Macaca mulatta: one gene and its partners. The protein of the gene in region 3 purifies or fractionates together with the protein of the main gene of each other region. This does not show direct contact. Links are inferred from orthologs where the notes say so. Each region holds a gene or a part of one and is shown on either strand. Other genes may lie near its edges.

Region 1 (2,834 bases), on a different chromosome or scaffold from region 3:
GGAGCTGAGATTGCACCACTGCACTCCAGCCTGGGCGACAGAGACAAAAAAAAAAAAAAAAAGAGAGCTTCCTGAGCTTTATAACATGGGAAGCAACTCCTAAAAACAGCCACGTGGTTTGATTCTTAGAAACTGGAAATGCACTTGAGAACATCATTTGTTACAATTTATTAGAGAGGAACATTAAAAAAACAAAAATCAAAATAGGCTGGGCATGGTGGCTGTAATCCTAGCACTTTGGGAAGCCGAGGCAGGACTGCTTGAGCCCAGGAGTTCAAGACCAGCTTGGGCAACATGGCAAAACTCTGTCTCTACAAAAAATACAAAAAGTAGCCAGGTGTCATGGTACGTGCCTGTGGTCCCAGCTACTCAGGAGGCTGAAGTGGGAGGATTGCTTGAGCCCAGGAGGTTGAGGCTGCAGTGAGCTGTGATCATGCCACTGCACTCCAGCTTGGGCAACAGAGTGAGATCCAGTCACTAAAAAAATAAAAAATAAAAAATAAAATAAAATATTGGGAACATAAGACCTTTAAGAGCTGAGGTCCCCAGTGTACCAAAAGAGAGAATCAGACTTCACATTAGAATTTTAAAAATACAGTTAAAGGAAAAATTAACTGGGCTCTGCACAGCAGGTTAAATATGCAACCACTTCCAACAGAAATGATCTAGTCTTCTCGCATAGTTCCAAGAATGTGCTTTAACATCTGATTCTCCACAGACAAAAAAGTAAAAGCACGTAACTTCATCAGCAAAGGCCCCTTTGTTTTGGACTTAAATTCACCTCTGATCCACCAAAGTTTATATTAACAATTACCAGACTACTACTTTAATAATATTGTAAGCTTGCAACGTTACTCGTCTCATGCCTATTCCACGTCACTGGTCAGAGGTATATATGCTTTTAAACTAGCCAAATGTACAAGTTCTCATGGCATCCTCACTCTGAAAACATTCAAACAATGGTTTCATAATGTTATGATTGTTCCATCTTCTTCTAAGAGTTTTTGATCTGGAGCATGTGTTTCAAATTCCGTGTTTGAGCCACTTGCTATGGGTGCTAAGCTCACTTCATTAGAGGGAATAAAGCCATTCTGTCCAGACTCAAAGCTTAGCTCTATCTGTGTTAATGACTCCAGGCTCTCGGTATTAGGAACAGCTTTTGGAATCTGCTGTGGCACTCCATTGTCTTCAATGATAATGTCATCTTCATCGCTGTCTTCATCCTCTGGCTCACAGCTTGGTTCAATGTGCTGTGGGGAGCCAAGAAGGCTGTTATCGGTAGACTGGCCAGAACTGCCAGAAGTCCGACTGTTCCTCACAACATTATTCCTCTGGTTTGCCGGTCTCACTGTTATGATGAGGTTACGGCTATTTGCAATCATCATGTCTGTTACTTGATCAAGGCTCTTCCCTGAAACTTCTATGCCATTAACTTCTAAAACTTCATCATTAACAGCTAATAGTCCTGTACTTTGAGCCAGACCTCCTGGGACAAGCCTGGATATAAAGATCCCTGGAACCTTTTCCAAGCCATGTGGTGTTACCCTGACACTGGAGCCATCCCGGATGTAGAATCCTAGGGGTTTCTCAGTGCCATATTTGTAAAGACGTACCCTACGATGTGTTTCTGGAAGAATATCCACGTCTATAATAGAAGACACAGGTCTAAAGTCTTGGGGCATACTAATGACTATATGTGGCTTTTTTCTATGGTTGTCAGGACGCAATACGTTGGTTAAAACATTCTTCTTCTTTATTAGCGTGTCTGTACCAAAGGCACTGTAGTCTGCTTCTTCTGTTTAAAAATAAAACAAAATAATTATAGAAATGCTGTAAAAATATCTATTCACTTGCGGCAGAATCTGTACAGAAAGGATAACTCAAAATATATTTGGTATATAAACAAACTAGCTAATAAGCTTATTTGCTAATCAGATCATAATCTAGTACAGTAGTAAAATGCCATACCAGAAAAAACCACTAGGTGGCCATCTCAAATACACATCACAAAATAAACCAATGTTGAAGTTAAATTTGATAGAGCTCAATCACTATTAAACATTAAATATGGCAAATGAAATTATGATAGATCTTACGTATTCTTTTTTTTTTTTTCTTTGAGATGGTCTCACTCTGTCGCCCAGGCTGAGTGCAGTGGCGTGACCTTGGCTCACAGCAACCTCTGCCTCCTGGGTTCAAGCAATTCTCCTGCCTCACCCTCCCGAGTAGCTGGAACTACAGGTGTGTGCTACCAGGCCTGGCTAATTTTTTTTGTATTTTTAGTACAGACAGGGTTTCACCGTGTTAGCCAGGATGGTCTCGATCTCCTGACCTCATGATCCGCCCACCTCGGCCTCCCGAAGTGCTGGAATTACAGGCGTGAGCCACCGCACCTAGCCAGATCTTACATATTCTTAAACATCATTAAATATATATGTATTTTTCCTTTTTTTAAAATAGGGTCTTGCTGTGTTGCCCAGGCTGGTTTTGAACTCCTGGCCTCAGGAGATCCTCTCGCCTCGGCCTCTCAATGTGCTAGGAGTACAGGTGAGAGCTACTGTGTCTGGCCTTAAAACATGATTTTAAACCAGCTTTTTTTTTTTTTTTTTTTTTTTTTTTGAGACGGAGTCTTGCTCTGTCGCCCAGGCTGGAGTGCAGTGGCCGGATCTCAGCTCACTGCAAGCTCCGCTTCCCAGGTTCACGCCATTCTCCTGCCTCAGCCTCCTGAGTAGCTGGGACTACAGGTGCCTGCCACCTCGCCCAGCTAGTTTTTTGTATTTTTTAGTAGAGACGGGGTTTCACCGTGTTAGCCAGGATGGTCTCGATCTCCTGAC
Region 2 (3,732 bases), on a different chromosome or scaffold from region 3:
GGTATGTAAATTTTGATTACTTTCTCTATTAGGTTTCATTATTATCTTCAGCCAAATCTTTTTTTTTTTTTTTTTTAGGACAGAGTCTTGCTCTGTCACCCAGGCTGGCATGCAGTGGCACGATCTCGGCTCACTGCAACCTCTATCTCCCGGGTTCAAGCAGTTCTCCTGTCTCCGCCTCCCAAGTAGCTGGAATTACAGGCACGCACCACCACACCCGGCTAATTTTTGTATTTTTAGTAGAGATGGGGGGGTTTCACGATGTCGGCCAGGCTGGTCTCGAACTCCTGACATCAGGTGATCCACCCACCTTGGCCTCCCAAAGTGCTGGGATTACAGGTGTGAGCCACCGCACCTGGCCTATCTTGGGCCAAATTTTATTGTCTTAGCTAACATATCACAGCTTTAAAAACTTAAAACCACTTTCTAAACTGCTTTTTAGAAAACTTTTAAAACAAAAAAAATCCTTTTTTTAAAAATGTATTGTTTTTTCTGAGATGGAGTCACATTCTATTGCCCAGGTTGGAGCGCGATGGTGTGATCTCTGCTCACTGCAACCTCCGCCTCCTGGGTTCACGCAATTCTGCCTCAGCCTCCTAAGTAGCTGGGATTACAGGCACATGCCACCATGCCCAGCTAATTTTTATATTTTTAGTGGAGACAACGTTTCATCATGTTGGCCAGGCTGGTCTTGAACTCCAGACCTCAAGTGATCCACCTGCCTCAGCCTCCCAAAGTGTTGGGATTCCAGGGGTGAGCCACCGTGCCCAGCCAAAAAATTGAATATTAATGTAATAAAGCAGGTTATAATGTTATTGAAACCCATATCAATGTTTATACTTGTTTTTGTTTGTTTGTTTGTTTGTTTGTTTTTTTAAGAGAAACAGTCTCACTCCATCGCCCAGGCTGTACTGTAGCTCACGACAGCCTTGATTGAACTCCTAGACTCAAGAGATCCTCCTGTGTTAACCTCTCAAGTAGCTGGGACTATAGGCATAAGCCATGGTACCCAGCTAATTTTCAATTTTTTTTTTTGGTTTGTTTTTTTTGAGGTGGAATCTTGCTCTGTCTCCCAGGCTGGAGTGTTGTGGCACAATCTCGGCTCACTGCAACCTTCGCCACCTAGGTTCAAGCAATTCTCCTGTCTCAGCCTCCAGAGTAGCTGGGATTATAGGTGCACGCCACCACGCCTGGCTAATTTCTGTATTTTTAGTAGAGACAGGGTTTTGCTATGTTGGCCAGACTGGTCTTGAATCCCTGACCTCAGGTGATTTACGCACCTTGGCCTCCCAAAGTGATGGGATTACAGGCATGAACTGCTGTGCCCAGCCAATTTTTAATTTTTTAATAGAGATGGGGTCTTGCTATATTGTCCGGGCTGGTCTTGAACTCCTGGCCTCAAGTGGTCCTCCCATCTCAACCTACCAAGCAGTTGGGATTATAGGCATGAGCCACCATGCCCAGCTCATATTTGTAAATTATGTTCATCATTGCTAATATCATTGTACCGTGCTTCAGGACTCACTTTAATAAGGGAAACAATGAGTGCAGAGGAGAACTGTAGAGGTGCAATTTTTCTAATAATACAGACTTGAGCTGTCATCCAATATGTCTTTTCAGATGGAGCAAAAACAGGTGGTACCTCCCTTTAAACCAAATATTTCTGGGGAATTTGGTTTGGACAACTTTGATTCTCAGTTTACCAATGAACCTGTCCAGCTCACTCCAGATGACGAGTAAGTAATTCTGTACACTGAAATTTTTTTTTAAGTTTTTTGGAAATCCCATTTTTAGTGACTATGCAATGTTTCATGATCAGATTATACTATTAATTTTTTTATTTTTTATTTTATTTCATTTTATTTTATTTTTGAGACAGAGTCTCGCTCTGTCTCCCAGGCTGGAGTGCAGTGGTGCAATCTTGGCTCACTGCAACCTCTGCCTCCCAGGTTCAAGTGATTCTCCTGCCTCAGCCACCCTGAGTAGCTGGGACTACAGGCTCATGCCACGACACCCAGCTAATTTTTATATTTTTAGTAAGGACGGCGTTTGCCATGTTGGCCAGGCTGATCCTGAACTCCTGACCTCAGGTGATCCACCCACCTTGGCCTCTTAAAGTGCTGGGATTACAGGCGTGAGCCACTGCGCCCGGCCTATACTATAATTTATATAACCATTCAGTTACTGGTATTTGAATCCACTGTACTATTATAAGTTTTAATAGTAACTGTCATTTTCTCCTTTGCTTTATCGTGCATTATCTCATTTTCACAACAACTTTGTAAACTAGTTAAATTGTCATCTTCATTTTACAGATGAGGAAACTGAGGCTCAGAGAGGTTAAGCAAAGTTACACAGCTATCAGGTGGTAGAGTCAGGATTCAAACCCAAATCTCTCTGTCCTGCTGCACTGTTTCCCATTTGACAAGGACTGTCTTTGTCTGTCTAAGTTCCTGAGTATTGCCTTAAGATAGATTCTTAGAAAGGGAATTAGGTCAGAGGGTATTAACATTTTAAAGCTCTTGATATGTATTGCCAAATTGCTTTTTTTAAGGAATTACATTGAGTTATTAAATCCAGCCAGCAGTGAGCTGATATATTTTTTTGTACTTATACTGCATCTTTTAAAAATATACCTTAAAATAATTGGGGGATATTTTGATTATTTACCTGTTGTTACAGATTCATTCTCTCTAATCTCAAGGAGGCCCTTATTGTTTGGCAGTCATTTTACTTCTATCTTATTTCTTACCACATTTCTCCCAGCACCTGCTCCAAACAGTCTCTTCATTTCAGAAGCCTTCAGTTCTACTCCTTTTTCCATCACTGTTAAAGGATTAACCTTGTCTTATTTTGATGCAAGGACTGATAACCTCTCTGGCGTGACCTTGCCTCCTTTCCAGCTGTCACCAGACCACCTTGCATCTCAGAATTGCTTTCTAATTCTTTTCAACATTTTCTTATTCCCTACTCTTGGAAGGCTCTCCTTTACAAGGAGCGTCCCTCCTATTTTCCTAGACCTGTTTCTGTAGTTTTCTCCAATATTTCATTTTGTCAGTTATCTTGTTATTGGACCTTCTTAGATTTATTTTTTTCTAGCTTGCTTCCCTCTGTGTAAGCATGCTCAGATTCTCTGATTTTTTCCCCCTAACTCATAGTCCCTCTTTGAACAACCACATTTTTCCTCATTTTCATTTCGTCTTGAAGCCTCAAAAAAAAAAAAAAAAAAAAAAAAAAAGTCAATAGATGTTCATGGTCAAAGAAAAATAAATATGCAGCACCTCTAATCTAACTTCTTCAGACTAGTCAACGTTGATTGTCTTGAATTTTTTTTTTTTCTGTCAACACTTCAACCCCTTACAACTGAGCCTGTCCTCCAGCTTTTGAAAGTTGAATCAATTTCTTAATTTCTAAATTGTAAAGCATTTTGGGGTGAGTCCTCACCTCCCTTGATGAATGTAAAGCATTTGGTCCTCATGGCTTTGCCTTGGGTGGCACTGCCTATTCTGGTTCTGTTTCATCTCTGTGACTACTTTTCTCTCATGTGTTTTCCCTGTCCCCTTGAGACCAGGATGCTTCATGGTTCTGTTCATGACAACCTTCTTTTTGCTTCATGCAGTTTGTACCTTGGAGATTTCAACCAGCCCTGTAGCATAGATACCAGCTAATTAAATGACTCTCAGTTAAATGGCAAATGGTTATTGAGCAAAAGGCGTTATGCTAAATACTAGA
Region 3 (3,732 bases):
TTTGAATTATTGAGCCTGGATTGCTGTTCTTGAGATTTTTGCATATATCAACTTAATAGATAATTAATAGTTACTTTCTATAGCCTTCTAAGTGTGCGTGTGTGTATTTTAAAAATTTTAAATACACATCTAACCCAATCCAAGATTCTATATATAATTATAAAGCTCTTTCTTTGAAAACTTAAATGGAAATATTTTGTAATGTCTACAAGTTGTATTAGACAATGTTGTAAAGAGAAGGTTCCATTTGGTTTCTATTATTGAAATTATAATACCTCTATTGTACTTAAAACATGTTTAATGATTTACAATTGAGAGAACAGAATTTTTTCTGTAGTTGTAGATAATTTTTTTATTTTTATTGAGAGAAAGAGAAATTTATATTTGAAGAAACAGCTATTCGTAGATCAGAGCTACAAACTTGATTGATAAATGGGTTATTAGAATTTTGCTTTTCAATTTCAACAGCCTGTCAGTTCTTATTGCTTAATTAGTATACTTAATTAAGCTCATAATATCTTCTAGTCTGCCAGTCTTAATTTGCTAATTTTCTATTCTTTCTCAAACCCAGAGCACAACATATGTTTCGCCAAGCCATGCGTACACCCATCATTTGGTTCCATGTGGTTCCTGCAGCAAATAAAGAACAGTATGAACAACTATCTCAAAGTGAGAAGAACAATTACTATTCAAGCCGTTTTAGCCCTGACAGCCAGTATATTGACAACAGGAGTGTGAACAGTGCAGGGCTTCACACGGTGCAGAGAGCACCCCGACTGAACCACCCGCCTGAGCAGATAGACTCTCACTCACGACTACCTCATAGCGCACACCCCTCGGGAAAACCACCATCCGCTCCAGCCTCGGCACCTCAGAATGTATTTAGTGCGACTGTAAGCAGTGGTTATAACACCAAAAAAATAGGCAAGAGGCTTAATATCCAGCTTAAGAAAGGTATAACCTATCTTGTTTTTGTTTTGTGGAATTTCTTTTCTTAGTAGCAACACACAAGGGTTGAAATGGAATTTATTTTAAAAGTCAACCTACTAACCCAAAGCACCCTAAGTCTTATCTCATTATTTTGTGAAAGAATTGATAGATTTTTAAAAGCTACTTACCTTTTAACACGTTTAAAATTGTATTTCTTATATGTCTCAGGTTTATTTTGCTCTGTAGAAATTAAAATGTAAAAGTGCAGAGAATAAGACTTTAAAATATGTCTATGAGAAGAAGATAGCAGCTACTACTGCAGTAAAATTTTTGATTGTGAATGAAAATGGCTTCGGGACATTAATATCAAACACAGAACAATAGTAAGGATTTGACCATTTTGACTGCCCCATTTGCTGTCTAAGTCTAGCCCTCAAAGAAGACTTGAGAGGTAGTGCACATCAATCCTAGTATTTGGTGTGGGGAGGAACTGATTTGTTTGAGGCTGCCAGGAGTTTTTAGTAGGTTGCTGAGAAGCCAGGCCATTGGCTCTTGTCTTTTGTTTTCTTGAATTACTGCATTACTTCCCTTTCTTTTTTTTTTTTTTTTCCTTTTCTTTCCTTTTTCTTTTCTTTTTCTTTTCTCTTTTTTTTTTTTTTTTTTTTTTTTTTTTTTGAGACAGGGCCTTGCTTTCTTGCCCAGGCTACAGTGCAGTGGCACAATCATAGCTCACTGTAGCCCACAGCACCACACGTCAGCCTTCCAAGTACTGGGACAAGAGGCATGTGCCGCCGTGCCCATCTCATTTAAAAATTTTTTTGTAGTGATAGAGTCTTGCCATGTTGCCCAGGTTGATCTGGAACTCCTGGCCTCAAGTAGTCCTTCTACCTCGGATTCCCAAAGTGCTGGGATTATGGAGTGAGCCACCATGTCCAGGCCTGCTTCTCTTTCTTATGGTGATGTGGAAGTCATGATGGCGATTACCAATTCTTCATGCATCTTTCAGCCATTTATGTATTTTAGTACCCTTCTTGTATACAGTGGATCTCTGTGTATAGAGAGCATGTTCTTGCAGTTTGCCTCCTTCAAAGTTGAGTGCAAACTATTGGACTTGACTTTATGATTTTCACCCAGTGTTTGGTCCAGGCACCAAGATATACTTTTACTGTTCATGATCCATTTTAGCTGATCATTTTGATATATTTTTAAATCATGTCTTTCAAAATGGTATTATTATAAAGAATATTTATTTTTATAGGCTCAACCATCAACTCTTATAGTTGGATGGAAATGATTCCAAGAGAGGTTCATTATTTCCTCAGGTCATGTGGCTGTTGGCCACAGATTCTTACTAGAATGTTTTCCATATCCAGATATTCAGACCATTCTTCTTTCCATTTGGGGTAGCATTTACAAGGTTGTAAATACTGAGACTGCTGTTTCCTTTCTAAGTCATATTCTTTCATTGAACTTTATGTGAACCTCAAGTTTCTTTTTCTGGTTACTGGCTTTTAAGCTCTAAATACTGGATTGACATGATCAGGAGTTGACAGCTTGCCTCCTTGCAAACACAGAGGCATATCAACAGAAACCCCTTTGGCTCTGTCACTTCCTAAATGAGAGAAATATCACATCCGCTTTCCTCCTTTTGCTCTACTTAAATGACAGGCCCTTGTTTTTAACCAAAAACATATCAAGAACCACAAATAGAGTTGTATAAAAAATAAAATTCTGCTTGAGATCTCTAAAAGGTATAGTATTTTGCTTCACCACTGTCATAAAGATATTGGTTCATAAATATCTTTTCCTTTTTATACTGATACAGCAGTATTCATTTAGTTAATTACAGTTTTTCAAAAATTAGGATATTTGACAAATCATGATATAACATGAACTTTTTAAATGAGGTGATTTGCCACTAAAAGTACCATTGTTTTGAATACAGATTTTATTTTAATAGCATTTAATGAAAAATATGATTGCATTTACACAAGCTAATTTAGAAAGATTGTGCTTAATCACTGTAAGGAGAAACAATGGTTTTAAGTGTTTCACAGACCTTGAATAATCTTAATGATATAGAGTCCCATAGATCTATCTTGATTTTAATTTACCAACTGTGAGAGTGTATGACAAAAAACACATGCTGCTTGTGCATGCCACCAATACTTACAAATATTTTATATAAAAATTGTGTTTAGTATAAATGTGGGGAAGAATGTAGATTATCTTTGATTTGGACTAAATGCATATATTTTAATAATAATGATTGTAGGAGAATTGAACAGGCTTTCCTTGTAGCTAGCAGATTTGTTCTTACCAGTTATTACATTTATTAGTGAAGTACATTAAAAACATAGGGTGTGTCAGATTCGGTTCAGAGTGAGCTAATGTGCTTTGAGTGGCAGCAATTCTTCAAAAACTGGGATCAACTCTTAGTACAAAAAAAGATGTCGGTATAATGATTCTTTGGCCTAATTTTGGATCTATATTATATAACATGACAACAGAATAGCCTCAGTGTACTTGCTTCCATAATTATGATTTCTTAATATTTATTGCCATTTTGGTATTCTCAAATACCCTGCTCTTTTGTAGAAATTAGCTTTTTAATAAAGTCAAAGGAGAAGGTCAGTAATCTGTTTCAGTCAGTGCAGAGTGTTTTGTTGGCTTTGTTAAATGAAAATTGATATCTACTTATCTTTCCTTGAAAGGTCATTGCCTGAACTTTTAGCTTACAGATTTAGGGGTTATTGCTGATATTTTAATAGTATTGAGGTTCCTACAACAGTCAGCATTCAT

The links. The genes of interacting proteins can lie anywhere in the genome.
Region 1: the proteins of PARD3 (region 3) and PARD6B purify together in Homo sapiens (affinity purification with mass spectrometry; 5 studies listed by BioGRID and IntAct, counting the BioPlex papers as one, with this or other methods). This does not show direct contact. The link is inferred for Macaca mulatta from reciprocal best matches to the Homo sapiens genes PARD3 and PARD6B.
Region 2: the proteins of PARD3 (region 3) and PRKCI purify together in Homo sapiens (affinity purification with western blotting; 5 studies listed by BioGRID and IntAct, with this or other methods). This does not show direct contact. The link is inferred for Macaca mulatta from reciprocal best matches to the Homo sapiens genes PARD3 and PRKCI.

The regions. Positions count from the first base shown.
Region 1 is NC_133415.1:103,610,925-103,613,758, reverse strand, and holds part of PARD6B (partitioning defective 6 homolog beta), read right to left. Parts: intron 1,796-2,834; coding exon 966-1,795; 3' UTR 1-965. UniProt on the Homo sapiens protein: Adapter protein involved in asymmetrical cell division and cell polarization processes. Probably involved in formation of epithelial tight junctions.
Region 2 is NC_133407.1:82,016,340-82,020,071, forward strand, and holds part of PRKCI (protein kinase C iota type), read left to right. Parts: coding exon 1-1; intron 2-1,620; coding exon 1,621-1,736; intron 1,737-3,732.
Region 3 is NC_133414.1:35,768,669-35,772,400, reverse strand, and holds part of PARD3 (partitioning defective 3 homolog), read left to right. Parts: intron 1-571; coding exon 572-954; intron 955-3,732. UniProt on the Homo sapiens protein: Adapter protein involved in asymmetrical cell division and cell polarization processes. Seems to play a central role in the formation of epithelial tight junctions. Targets the phosphatase PTEN to cell junctions.